Linked DNA regions of Sus scrofa. The protein of the gene in region 2 purifies or fractionates together with the protein of the main gene of each other region. This does not show direct contact. Links are inferred from orthologs where the notes say so. Each region holds a gene or a part of one and is shown on either strand. Other genes may lie near its edges.

Region 1 (7,275 bases), on a different chromosome or scaffold from region 2:
TAGGTTAAAGAGAAGTTCCCTTAAAAGTGAATTGCTTCCTTTTGGCAAACATTCATATTGAACTACAAATAATAAGATGTACATGTTTTAAGTGTAAGCTCAGCGATATGTTACAAAGTGATACACCCATGAAACACACAAAGAACATCATCTAGACTGTCACCATCTTCCTAGATGCCTCCCTCCAGATAATCCTCCAGGAAAAGGTAGCAGAAAATTATTCTGCCCATTATCACTAGAGATGTTAGGGAACCTTAAATAATTGAAGCTAGTCAGTATGGAAGGTACTCTTGTGTCCAGCTTCTCTTGTTCAATGATATGGTTTGTGAGATGTATTTTTTCTACTTTGACCCACAGGTTATTCAGAAATGTACTGCTTAATTTTAACACATTTGGAAGTTTTCTATCATTGATTTTAGCTTAATCCCACTGAAGTCAGAAAACATTCTTGGTATTATTTCATTCCTTTGAAATTTGTTAAGACTCACCTTATGGTCTAGAAAATATTCTATTTTGGTAAATGTTCCACTGTATGAGAAAAGAATATGTATAAGAATGTGTATTCTGAAATGTTGAGTACAACGTTCTATAATTTCCAATTAGATCAAATTTGTCAATCCTAGTTTTCAGTCCTTCTCCGTGTTTATACTTTTTTTGTTTGCTTGTTCTGTCAATTACTGAGAAAAGTATGTTACATTTTCCTACTATCAAAATAAATAAATAAATATTGCTAAATTTAAAAAAAAAGAAATTCTTAGTTTTGGACATCAATAGCAAATATCACATAACCAATCAGTTATTAATGAAGTCCAACCTTGAGTTAATGATTTACAACCTTCTAAATCATTTACTCAAGGCACCAAGACACAATCATTGTACACCAAGAACCTGGTAAACTAGACACACTCCTGCCCTTAAGGAGCTTCCAGTCTGGTAATGCAGAAAACATATTACTCTTCAAAGTGGTAACTTATTATCCACATTTTAGGTATATTAAACTTGTATAACTGTTCTTCAGCGAGAACTTTATTAGAGCTTAAGAAATAAAATGTATAAAGGTGTTTATAATAGAAAACATGTATTTTCCTCCTCAAAGAAAAATGGTATTTAATATTAGTTAACACCACTAACATTTCAACATCTTCCAAATCCATTTTTTGGACAAAGACTCACCAAGGGAATCAGAGGGAGCTGGCAATTTCTCCAGCTATAGGTTTCAGCTTCTAAGTATGGGTATTACATGAGCATTTATAGATGATAACATCTGCTTATTACACAGCTAATGCCCAATAATCCAAGGATTTTGTAACTGAAAGTTTTTTTAACTGTTCTGTGATTTATAGCAAACTTCTGCAACTTAAACTCATTTCATATCAAGATCTTATACCATTTATGGACGCTTTTAAGAAGGGAATCTAAGTTTTGTGACATGTCCAAAATTCTTACAGGGCTTATTTTTATAATTACCTAATGTTTTATATAAAATAACTGTTGACAATAAGTATTTAGCTTTCCACTTTTGCTGTTCAACATGGGAATAAAGAGTCGAGTACTAACTCTAATTCCAGCTATTATTCCAGCTGTTTCACAAATATCAGGTAAGTGAGATACCCTAGGCCTGTCTCATTTGCAAACTGGTTTATTCTAGAAACCTTTCCATTCCAAAATTAAATAAGCAATTACAGTAAGATTGCATCTGCTGGCTTTTCCAGTAAACTGGAGACAATCTTAAACTATTAAGATAAGCAATTATATCATAACTTTTGAAATAAAAAGGCTGAATTATGGAAATTAAGTTTTTTAAAAACTACATAAATGTGAGGTCTTTCAAAGATTGAACAATTTATCCTAAGGATTGCTAATAATGGCATTACTATTTACCAAAAGTAGTTACAACGTTTACATACATAGACTACATTTTCATCACTAAATCCATTTCTAGAACAAAATTTTTATTTTTTATTTATTTCATTTTTTTTGGCCACGCCCATGGCATGTGGCAGCTCCAGGGCTAGGAATCAAATCCTCCACAGCAGTAACCACAACGGATCTCTAACCCATTGAGCCACCAGGGAACTCCTAAAACAAATTTTTAAAAACATCACCTACTTTTCTTCTTCCTTGTACATTACCATGTCTACCCTACAACTGACTCACAACTATGTTCATGGTTAACAGATAATTAATTCTTGAGAAACACTGAGCTTTATTCATTTTCTATCTAGTTCATCTCACCCACAAACACCATCACCCACTCCCAAACACACAACTCACAATCTGTTACACTCTAACACAATACAGTGTTGACTGAATTCACATTAAGTCATCTATTTAACACTACTTCACTAATTAAAAGCACTTTCTTTTTTTTCCACTAACACCATGCAATCCTATTTTCATATTCCTTCTGGATTTATCAAAGGGGGAGGGAGTATCTCTAGGATTCGTTTAAGGAAAGAAAATTAAACTATTATAACCTAATCATTGTGCTGCCTTCAGACAGGAGCAGTATCTTAAATACATTCCTGTCCACTCCATTTCCCGAGCTTGTTCCAATCCTGGAGCAGTTCACTGGAGACTCTTCTTAAGTCCAATTTAATGTTACTCTAGCCCTTTCAACAAATCACCACCTAAAATTAATTATCAACACAAAAGAGTATATCTGTGAAATACAGGACAGCAGCTGGCCATATTTTTATCAACTATTACCTTTCCAAAACTACCACCACAGGGTTGTTAAAAACCTTGCAGGATCCAGTCTAAACCACCTTTCAGCCATGTATTGATGGGGATCTACTTTTAACATTTCTAGGGCCTGGGAAGTCGGTATTTCAAAAGACATGACATTCCATTCTGGCAACATCAGTTCTTCCCATATTTTAAAGTAATTGTATCCCTCCGACTCTCTATGAATTACATCCATTTGTTTCTGATTGTACCTCTGGGGGTACGCACAACATGTGTCTATCAGAACAGTGGCTAGGATTTTTTTTTTTTGGCTTGGCTTGGCTTGGCTTGGCCTAAGTCACATAATCATCTTTCCAAACATGTTTTCCAAAATAAGCATTTGAGGAACCAAAGAGGCCATTCTTGCCATTTTGCCTAGTTAACAAGAACGGGCAGAAGTTAATTTATTGGTAGACATTTCTCGAGATTAATAACCTAACCTATACCACTTCTTAAAGATGCTTGCTTACTAAACTACCATCTTTAATTGTAGCACTAAGGGTTTTCGAAATTTAGCCTAACAAAAAAGGCTGTTCTGAAAATACGCATTACATCCGCATAATACTACCAGGAAATAAACCTAAGGGCCTGAAACTCAGAACAGGCCTAGTCTCAGCCGCGCCCAGAACAGACAAACGTTAAGTAAAGAAGAGAATTAGGATCAAAGAAAAACCCATGGCTAGATGAAGTGTTAGGTCATATGGAGATTGAGGACGAAAGGGGAAAGGGCAGGCCTGGTCTTTTCCAATGAGTCCAAACGTCTCGAAGGGGAGACCGGCCCCGCGCGGGGCAAGCTAACCTCCCCACCCCCAACCCACAACGACGACCCCGGCTCCGTCGACCTACTCCCGAGCCCCGCCTCCGCTCGTCACCTTGCTCTGCACTAACCTTTCTCCTCTCGGCTGTCGGCCGCCATTGCTCCCCTCTTGTTTCCGCTGCTGCCACCGCCGCAGCCGCCACCGCCGCCGCTTCGACGCGACTCGCGCGGGCGCCGCAGCCGCGGCAGCAGATGCACAGGCGCGTCCGTCAGTCCGTCCGGTGGGCTGCACGCTTCGCACCTTAGTCTCCACCACTCTACCCTTCCCGACTCGCCTTTTCTCCCCGCTTCTTCCCTTTCTTCCTTTCCCCCTTCTCTCCTTTCACTCCGGCGTCTCGGATCCTAGGCCCAGGATTCCCGTTGGGGCTTGGGGACGGGAGGGGTCAGGGGGAGGGAAGGGAAACAGACGGCGATGGCGGGCGGCGCTAAAATGGAGCCTGCTTCCTGCGTGAAACAATCCCGCTCCCGAAATGCCCTGCGCTGTTTACGCTTCTTTCCTCCCTGGGAACGTCACAGTGCGGAGAGGGGCGGGAAGGGAACGTGACTAACGTCATCACGTCGCCCCGCCCCCTGTAGGGCGGAAGTCCCTGCAAAGAGTTTTGTTTCCAGCGGTGAAGTCTCCCTACTTAGTTTTTCGGCGCCCAAGCTGCGCTGCTTGCTCCCAAGTGGCTTAGTTTTCTCACCCGAAACGTCTATCCAAAGATGCTTCCTATTGCTTTGGCTGACAGCTGATTCAGTTCTGGAAATCGGAGACCTATTTAGGACAAGTCTGGGCGGGTCCTTTTGCAGCCACTACTTTATGCTCCGGGTACCAGATGTACTTTCTTATTTGGTGCTCCAGACGCGGCGCAGGGTGCAACCAGTTCACTTGTCACAAAACCCTACCAGTTTTGTTTTTAATTGGGGAAAGGAATTACATTGTATTTTAATATAGCTTTGTAAATTCACACAATAAATTTGATTTAAACGTTTATCAAGGTCCTGGGAAAGAGTTGATATAAACATACTATTCAGATATTAAAACTAGGGAAGGGACCAAAAATTACTTTAGATGATATGTAAAGATCTGAGAGGAAAGGAGTTCCCCTCGTGGCGCAGTGGTTAACGAATCTAACTAGGAACCATGAGGTTGTGGGTTCGATCCCTGCCCTTGCTCAGTGGGTTAACGATCCAGCGTTGCTGTGAGCTGTGGTGTAGGTCGCAGACGCGGCTCAGATCCCACGTTGCTGTGGCTCTGGCAAAGGCCAATGGCTACAGCTCCGATTAGACCCCTAGCCTGGGAACCTCCATATGCCACAGGAGCAGCCCTAGAAAAGGCAAAAATACAAAAAGATCTAAGAGGAAACTTGCTTAAAGTTCATTGTCCAAAGGAATAAAAAATGTAGTTTTGCTTCACTGCTCCATAACCGAGTTTTACAAGGAAAAGAAAATTTGAAGGAAAAAAAAGTAATTTTGTTATTATATATATATATATATATATGCACACACACTAATGATAAGTTTAGAGAAAGACAAGTAGTCTACAATGTCTTGGTCCTTGATTGCCCTTTTAACATAGAAACCAAACTGAAGGCAACTGGATGAATTAAGCAGCGTGAAAACATAAACAGAGATGAATAAACAGTTATTTGGAGTCATTTGGAGGGTTTTGAAGGGAGAAAGGAAATCAATTCAGTAAATCTAAAATCCTCCTATGTATTGGATGTTTGGGAATCAAGAGTGAATAGAACAATATTTTTGCCTTTAAGGAATTTTCGATATGTATAGGGCAGAGACAAGATAACAGGCAATTAGTGTGTAAAAATAATAGCTAAAAAATGTGTGTTCTTACTCTGTGACAGGTCTGAGCACATGACCTATATGATCTGACTTCATCTTCCAAAACTGCCATTTTTTTTAGCTAGTATATTCCTAGCTCTATATTACTGATAAGGAAAGTAAAGTAATATGAAATTAAAGTACCCAAATGATAAGTGGTAGTAAGGAGCATAGCTCTAATCCAGGCAATTTGGAGGCAGCCACCGCCCACTTCATGACACTGCCTTATGTAGAGTAAGCTGAGAAGTTATTGGAACCCTTAGGTGCATGCTACTCAGACCAGTGAGGAATACAGAGTAAAGGAAAGCTTTCTGTAGAAGGGAAAATAAAGCCTAGTTGAGCTCTAAAAGCCTCTTAGCCTAGGTAGAAGGGGGAAGGGTGGTGGGCAAAAGAATGGTTTTCATGTAAAAAAAGTCCTAGGTGGCCGCACTGCCCATGGTTCAATTCAGGTTCATACTCAATGGTTATGTGAGAAGAAGCTGAATCAAGAAAAGCATTAGACTGGAGCTCAGCAGAAACAAATCTGACTACTATCCATGAATACACAGGTTCAATCCCTGGCCTCGATATGTGGGTTATGGATCCAGCATTGCAGTGAGCTGTGGTGTGGGTCACAGACACAGCTTGGATCCCCTAGCCTGGGAATTTCCATATGCCACAGGTGTGGCCCTAAAAAGACAAAAAAGAAAAAAGAAAGAAAAGAAAAGCACTATATGTGTTCTACTCATTATTTCAGTCAACTAATACTTAATAAATTTTGCCCCAAATGTTGTAATAGGTGCCAAGGTTAAAAAACATATATGGTATTGATCCCAGTTTCTCTCTTCAGGTAGTTCAAGTTTGTGCTCTAGTGAGGGAGACAAAGCATAAGTAAACCAATTAAAAGTTATGATGAATTCTATGAAAGAAATAAGAGGCTAATAGGGCAAGGTGGGAGGAACAGGTGGAGGCTTTTTGCATAGAAAAACTAAATCATCTCTGAGGAGGTGAAGTTGAGACTGAGTCATCCAGGCTGACAACAGCACGATCAAAGGCTCTGAGGGAGAAAGAGGCCTGGGCGTGGTCAAGGATCTAAGGAGAGCACCAGTGAGTTGCCACCAGCCAGCGAGTGCGAGTGCAAGAGGAAGTGGTGAGGTAATGTTTGAGGAACAAGTCGAATCTGAGTAAGGGCCAGGTCAGGATCCAGCCTAAAACATCTGTGGTACAAGATCTGCAGGGAGACAGAATTGCAAAGTTGAGGCCGCTGGAGGGTGGGAATGGAAAACAGCGCAGGCTTTCTACAGACCCACACCTGTAAAATGTGCAAGTTCAAGGAGATCAGCACTCCTCAGAGAAAGACAACAAAATCTGGAGTCTCTGAAATATATTTTTCAAAATATTCAATATAAAATCAGGTCAGGGCTAGGACATATAGCACAGGTTGCAAATGGGTGCCTGCTTCGCTAAGACTTTCCTTGAATCAGAAGTGTTTGTGTGGAGTTCCTGTCGTGGCACAGTGGTTAACAAATCTGAATAGGAACCATGAGGTTGCAGGTTCAGTCCCTGCCCTTGCTCAGTGGGTTAAGGATCCAGCGTTGCCATGAGCTGTGGGGTAGACTACAGACTCGGCTTGGATCCTGCGTTGCTGTGGCTCTGGTGTAGGTTCAACAGTGGCCGCAGCTCCGATTGGACGCCTAGCCTGGGAACTTCCATATGCCACGGGAGCAGCCCTAGAAAAGCAAAAAGACAAAAAAAAAAAAAAAAAAAAGGTTTGTGTGCTTTTATTAAAGCTTAATGCCTTTAATCAGAGCATACACTTTCCAATATGACATTTCCTCCACCATCTCTCTCAATTGCCTTATCCTTGACCAATATTAAAGTGTGTGCGTAAATATATATATATATATATATATATATATATATATATAATCAAG
Region 2 (7,275 bases):
AAGTTTTCTTGGGAGTTCCCATCATGGTGCAGCGGAAGTGAATTCTGCTAGGAACCATGAGGTTGCAGGTTCGATCCCAGGCCTCACTCAGTGGGTTAAGGATCTGGTGTTGCTGTGAGCTGTGGTATAAGTTCCAGATGTGGCTCGGATTCAGTGTTGCTGTGGCTGTGGTGTAGACCAGCAGCTACAGCTCTGATTAGACCCCTAGCCAGGGAACCTCCATGGGCCGTGGGCACGGCCCTAAAAAACAAACAAAAAGTTTTCTTTTTTTCCCTTTTTTTTGCTGCACACAAGGCATATGGAAGTTCCCTGGCCAGAGAATGAATCCCAGCCACATCCATGGCCTATGCCTTATCTGTGGCAACACCAGATCCTTCAATCCAATGCGCCAGGCTGGGGCTCAAACCTGCACCTCCACAGCAACCCAAGCTTCTGCATTCGGATTCTTAACTCACTGCACCACAGTGAGAAAACCCAGACTGCTTTTTAAATACAAGGTGAAAAAGGTACCTTTACATGAAGAAAAGACTACATGTAACATCACCAATAATAGAACACACTGACATCATATACCTCTTTTTTTTCTGCTTTATTTATATATTTTTATTTTTTACTGTTTTTGTCTTTTAAGGGCCACACCTGTGGCATGTGGAGGTTCCCAGGCTCAGGGTTGAATCAGAGCTGTAGCTGCCGGCCTACACCATGGCCATAGCAACATGGAATTCGAGTTGAGTCTTTGACCTACACTACAGCTCATGGCAATGCTGGATACCTGACCCACTGAGAGAGGCCATGGATCGAACCTGCATCCTCATGGATACTAGTCGGATTCATTTCTGCTGTGCCACAATGGGAACTCCCATCATATACCTCTTGATGAAACATACTAAGATGCACACATCATCTATACAGTGTTCCTGACAAAATTATTTAAGTTGAATCTAATAGGGAACAGATGATAAAAATTGAGGAACATTCTGCAAACAGTAGAATGGAATTCTTCAAAGAAGTGAGTGTATAAAAGAAAAAACCCAGGGATTCTTTTACAGTAAGGGATCTTAAAAAGTTATGGCAATGCCATGCATGAACCTTGACTGTATGCCAGACTGAGAAAAAAGTCAGGACATTTTGAAAATTTAAATATGGCCACTGTATGTTATAGTCAGTAGTATTATAATAATAATAAATTTTCTGGGAGTTCCCGTCGTGGCGCAGTGGTTAACGAATCCGACTAGGAACCATGAGGTTGTGGGTTCGGTCCCTGCCCTTGCTCAGTGGGTTAACGATCCGGCGTTGCCGTGAGCTGTGGTGTAGGTTGCAGACGCGGCTCGGATCCCGCGTTGCTGTGGCTCTGGCGTAGGCCGGTGGCTACAGCTCCGATTGGACCCCTAGCCTGGGAGCCTCCATATGCCGCGGGAGGGGCCCAAGAAATAGCAACAATAACAACAACGACAACAAAAAGACAAAAGACAAAAAATAAATAAATAAATAAATAAATTTTCTTGGAGTGTTAATAGAATTCCGATTATGTAGGAGAATATCTTTGTTCTTATTAGATCCTTAGTGAAATATTTAAGGGTCAAGAGTAACAGTCTTCCAAAAACTCAAGTGATTCATCATAAAACAAAACAAAAAACTCATACACGTGCTCACACATACAGAGAGAAAACAAAAGTGGTGAAATGTTCAAAATTGGTGCATATGGGTTGATATTGGTGCTCACTATATTTTTCCCATAAATTTAGGTTTTTTTTTTCCTGCTTTTTAGGGCTGCACCCATGGCGTATGGAGGTTCCCAGGCTAGGGGTGGAAATCTGAGCTACAGCTGCCGGCCCATACTACAGCCATAGCAGTGCCAGATCTGAGCTGTGTTTGGGACCAATATCATAGCTCATGGCAATGCTGGATCCTTAACCCACTGAGTGAGGCCAGGGATTGATCAAGCAACCTCATGGTTCCTAGTCGGATTCGTTTCCACTGAGCTACAACCGGAACTCTGTAGGTTTGATATTTTTGAAAATAAAAAATTGAGAAAGTAAAAAGCTCTTCAGATTCAAGCAGTGCTGTTCCAGCGGGTTTAGCATCTTTAAAATAATCATACTTTTTTTTTTTTTTTTTTTTTTTTTTGGTCTTTTCTAGGCCCACATCTGTGGCATATGGAGGTTCCCAGGCTAGGGGTCTAATTGGAGCTGTAGCCGCCGGTCTACACCATAGCTCACAGCTCACAGCAATGCCGGATCCTTAACTACTGAGCAAGGCCAGGATCAAACCCGCAACCTCATGGTTCCTAGCTGGATTCGTTAACCACTGAGCCAGGATGGGAACTAGCATCTTTAAAATAAATATTTTATTTATTTATTTTTGTCTTTTCTAGGGCTGCACCTGTGGCATTTGGAGGTTCCCAGGCTAGGGGTCTAATCAGAGCTTTTGCTGTTGGCCTAAGCCACAGCAATGCCAGATCCGAGCCGCGTTTGCAACCTAGACCACAGCTCACAGCAACGCCAGATCCTTAACCCACTGAGCGAGGCTGGGGATGGAACCCTCAACCTCATGGTTCCTAGTCAGGTTCGTTAACCACTGTGCCATGATGGGAACTCCATAAAATAAATATTTCAGAGCAGCTATTCTGATCAGTTAAAACTACAGATGATGGAGTTCCTGTTGTGGCTCAGCAGGTAAAGAACCCCGAGATAGTGTCTCTGAGGATGTGGGTTTGATCTCTGGCTTTGGTCAATGGTTTAAGGATCCATTGTAGGGGTAAGCTGCAGTGTAGGCTGTGTATGAGGCTTGGATGCAACCCCTAGCCTGGGAACTTCCATATGCCCCTGGATGGCCTTAAAAAGAAAAAAAAAGAAAAAAAGCGCAGTTGAGATTAAATGGTCAGGATGAATCTCTTTCAGAAATATAATTATTTAAATGAACAAGGGACCTCTGCAGTTATTTTTCTCACAGTCATCTTGATTAGGAAACATGATGCGTGAGTTTGGAGTCAGCTAGGCCTAAATTTGAATCATTGCTGGGTAAACCTCTTCAGGACTGTTTCCTCTTCGTAAGATGGAGAAAGAACTCCTTTGGTGGGTTGTTGAATTAAACTGTTACCTATGGTATTTACAGAGCTGGGCTTTGATTCGTGTGCAAACACTTAATTCAACCTTCCATGCTATTTGCATCGTTTCCTTCATCACACTCGAGCAATCCTCTGGGGTAAAGGTGAGAAATAAGATGACTTTTCCAAGGTCACACAGCTATTGAAGGACCCAGGTTTCCCAGCTCTTGGTCCTGTGCCCTTTACACACTCGCCGGAGAGGAGGGAGCGGCGCTCATGGGGATGCAAGGATGTAGAGGAGCAAAGGGGGAAAAGAGGCCGCGCGAGGAGAGGTGGTGTGAGACCCATGGAGGCGCTGGCCCAGGAAAGGCGCATGGAGAGGCGGGCAGCGCGTCGGGCCGGGGTAGGTAGAGGGGCTATGGCTCGTGGCCCTATGCCGGGGAGAGGAAGGAGGCCTGGGCCAAACGCGGGGGCGCAGGAGCCGAAGGCCCAGACGGCGGCGGGGGCGGGAGCAGCGGTGGACGTGGGGGGGGGTCATTTTCGCCCAGGTGAGTCAGGCGGGTGGGTGCAGGTGGGTACGGGTGGCGCGGGAGGGACAGCGCGGAGGGTCTGGACCCCACCGGGTGGGTGGGGGCGGGGCGGGGGCGGGGCCGGCTGGGGGCGGGTCTTGCTGGGCCCCCAGCTGGAGCGGCAGCTGCGGCGGCGGCGCAGGCGCGGTCCCCGCCTCCTCCTGGCCGGCAGAACGAGTGGTGGCTGCATCCCGGCTCGGCTCCCGCGTCGCCGCCGCCGACGCCGCTGCCGCCGCGAAGCCCCCTCCCCGCTTCCGCTGCGTCGCGATGAGCTCCCGGAAAGGTGAGTGGCCCGTGGCGTCCTCTCTTCCCTGCCACGCGGCCCCTGAGGCCGGTCTGCCCGACCGTTAATGTGTGTCTTCTCTTTCCTCAGTGCTGGCCATTCAGGCCCGAAAGCGGAGGCCGAAAAGAGAGAAACATCCGAAAAAGTGAGTCCACGCTGCGCTAGTCTCCGGACCCCCGCCCCTGCCCGGTCGGGGGTAGCCCGCGGCCGCGCAGGGGAAAGTTGCTCGGGTCCCCGGGGCGGGCGAGCGGGCGGGCTGATCCCCCGGGACGCCGGCGCTCGCCTCCAGCGCGCCCCGCGGGCTGCCCGGGGGGAGGGGCTGACGGTCGGGGGAGGGGCGCGCTGGCCCGCGGCCAGCCCGCTGAGCATCCCGGACCCTCGGCCCCTTGGGTCCCAAGGCACAGGGGGCTGACGGACGAGGAGGCGCCGGGCGTGCGCAACGTCCCCGGCTCGCCGAGCTGTCCCGGGGGTCGCGGGCCTTCCTGGGAGGGGCGGTGGCGTCTGCAGGCCGGGCCCGGCCCCGCCGCGCCGAGTGCCGGCGTGAGGCTGCGGCGTTGCTCCCACCTGGCCACCTGGGCCCTAGAGGAAGAGGAACGGAGTGTGAGAAAGAGTGTGTGTGTGTTGGGTGTCTCCTCCTCTTCCTCCCCGGCCCCCACCTTTCGGCCTTTCAGCTGAAAACCCGAGCTGGTTGTCAAGTGGTTTGCCTCGGGCGTGTTCCTGGCTCGAGTTCAGCTCCGAGACCTGTGCGTTTCGGCGCTTGGGTTTTTTTCCGAAACTTTCTGCCCGGGCCGAGCGTGCCTTCACTGCGCGGCGGCTGCGCCCGGGTCTCCGGCTGCGCGGGACCGGTGGGCGTGTGCGCGGGCGGTCCTCGGCGCGGCTGCCCAGCCCCTCATTGTGCTGGGAGGCGACGAACGGGGTGGTGATATTTAAAACGTGCCAGCCGCCAGCCACCCCCAGCCTGGCCGCGGACCGGAGTGGGAGCGCCCGGCGCTCGGGAAGTCTTTCCTGGAGAGCTGCTTCGGGACCGCGGAGCGCCGCCGTGTCTCTCCCTTTCTTTCCTGGTTTTGAAGAATCTATCAGCGTTCAACATCTTTACTCCTTCTCCCAGATTTGTGGCTTCCCTCTTCCATTTGAGCAAGAAATACCCTGTGTTAAATTTGCTACTATAGGGATAGCCCATCATCATCTTTAAATAAAATCACGAAATATTTCTTGTTTGTTTTCTTTAGGGGACGAACCTGCAGCCTTCCTAGGCTTTTCCCCTTCCTATTAGCCTTGATTTCTGCTTAGCGAATTTCACACCCATTGGTGGCGTCTATGAAAACTGCCTAAGTCTTTACTATTAATGTAATGTATCGTGATAGGATTTTTGTTCATTCAAACCGGAATATAACTTGAAAGTATGTTCAGCATTTCACAAAATGTCGTAGCAACATCATAATGCCTTAAAAAAAAAAAAAAGAAAGAAAAACCTACTAGAGCGAGGAAGAAGTACTTATTAAGGACTTAAGGAACTGGTGGGTAAAAATTGGGTATTACATTCTCGAAACGTTAAATAGCAATGGATATTTGATAGTTTTAGATGCTTTAAAAATTAATGCTCTCAATCAGAACCTTACATTAGGCATTTCTTTTGGTGAACGACGGAAAGCCCATAAGTAAGGACTGTAATGTTTAGGATCCTGAGTGTTGGGTTTGGAGCACAACTTTCAACTCAAAGAGTTTATTCCTGCATAGCCCCTTTTTTTTTTTTCAGAAAAGTTAATAGAAGTTGAAAAAGACATGCTGGGAGTTACCCTTGTGGCGCAGCGGAAATGAATCCGGCTAGTATCCATGAGAATGCAGGTTCAGTCAGTGGGTTGGGGATTCTGCGTTGCGGTGAGCTGTGGTGTAGGTCACAGACACGCTCGTATTCTGCGTTGCTGTGGCGTAGCCCAGCAACTACAGCTCCAATTTGACCCCTAGCCTGGGAACTTCCATATGCCGTGGGTGCAGCCCTAAAAAGACACCCCCCCAAAAAAAGAAAAATGCATGCCTTTTTTTTTTTTTTTTGTCTTTTTTGCTATTTCTTGGGCCGCTCCTGCGGCACGTGGAGGTTCCCAGGCTAGGGGTCCAATCGGAGCTGTAGCCACCGGCCTACGCCAGAGCCACAGCAACGCGGGATCCGAGCCGCGTCTGCAACCTACACCACACAGCTCACGGCAACGCCGGACCGTTAACCCACTGAGCGAGGGCAGGGACCGAACCCCCAACCTCATGGCTCCTAGTCGGATTCGTTAACCACTGCGCCACGACGGGAACTCCAAAAATGCATGCCTTTAATTTTGGTGATGGCTGTTTGTGTGCAGAGATGGGTATATGTGTGTGTGTGTTTTGTAAACATGTATGTAAAATGTAGAAAAATCGTTAAGTCAACAGGTGTTTCATATTTCAGGGTATGACTTTCCTAATGACCTAGAGCCTTTTTTGGTGTGCTGTTGTTTGGATTTATGTAGTATGTTTATAAAGAATTAGCATATAGGGAGTTCCCATCAGGGCTCAGCAGTAGTTAACCCAGCTAATATCCATGAGGATGCATGTTCCATGCCTTGCTCAGTGGGCTAAGGATCCAGTGTTGCTTCAAGCTGCAGTGTAGGTCACAGATGTGGCTTAGAACCAGCATTGCTGTAGCCCTAGCTTGGGAACTTCCATATGTCACAGGTGGAGCCCTAAAAAGCAAAAAAAAAAAAAAAGTGCATATCCACAATATTCAACTTTTACTCTCACAGGCTAATTTGTTGTTGTTTTCCCTTATCTATTGTAATCATGTGACTAGATTTGAGGGATGACGCCTCAGCCAGTGACTAAATGAACTGGCCAGTCTGTAAGGACTAGATAGCTGTGTTACATAAAGTGTTTGATTGAGGCAGTGTCATTTTTCTTTTTCTTTTTTTCTTTTTATGGCTGCACTTGCAGCATATAGAAGTTCCAAGGCTAGGGGTTGAATTGGAGCTGGAGCCGAGGCCTATGCTACAGCTTGTGGCAATGCCAGATCCTCAATCCACTGAGCAAGGCCAGGGATCAAACCTGCATCCTCACAGACACCATGTTGGGTTCCTAACCTGCTGAGCCACAGTGAGAACTCGAAGACGTGAGAACTCGAAGACGTGTTTTTTTAAAGGGGTGTTTGATGTGTTTGATTTATTTACATATTCAACAAGTATTTGCATGCTCTTCCTAGGAAAGAGTAGTAGAGTTTTGAACAAGACAAGCAAACTTCTAATAAAGCTTACATTTTATGGGGGTTTGGGGAACCCTAAAGCAAAAGGGAGAAAATGAAGATGAGAACCATAAGTATAGTGGTAGATGATATTTGAAAACTGCTAGTCAATTTGCTG

The links. Proteins that work in one complex are often made in the same cells at the same time.
Region 1: the proteins of SRPK2 (region 2) and YTHDC1 purify together in Homo sapiens (affinity purification with mass spectrometry; 4 studies listed by BioGRID and IntAct, with this or other methods). This does not show direct contact. The link is inferred for Sus scrofa from reciprocal best matches to the Homo sapiens genes SRPK2 and YTHDC1.

What each region holds. Positions count from the first base shown.
Region 1 is NC_010450.4:66,083,295-66,090,569, reverse strand, and holds the start of YTHDC1 (YTH domain-containing protein 1), read right to left. Parts: upstream 4,032-7,275; 5' UTR 3,644-4,031; coding exon 3,616-3,643; intron 1-3,615. UniProt on the Homo sapiens protein: Regulator of alternative splicing that specifically recognizes and binds N6-methyladenosine (m6A)-containing RNAs.
Region 2 is NC_010451.4:105,260,722-105,267,996, reverse strand, and holds the start of SRPK2 (SRSF protein kinase 2), read left to right. Parts: upstream 1-3,307; 5' UTR 3,308-3,322; coding exon 3,323-3,449; intron 3,450-3,728; exon of another isoform or gene 3,729-3,882; coding exon of another isoform or gene 3,883-3,898; intron 3,899-3,988; coding exon 3,989-4,043; intron 4,044-7,275. UniProt on the Homo sapiens protein: Serine/arginine-rich protein-specific kinase which specifically phosphorylates its substrates at serine residues located in regions rich in arginine/serine dipeptides, known as RS domains and is involved in the phosphorylation of SR splicing factors and the regulation of splicing.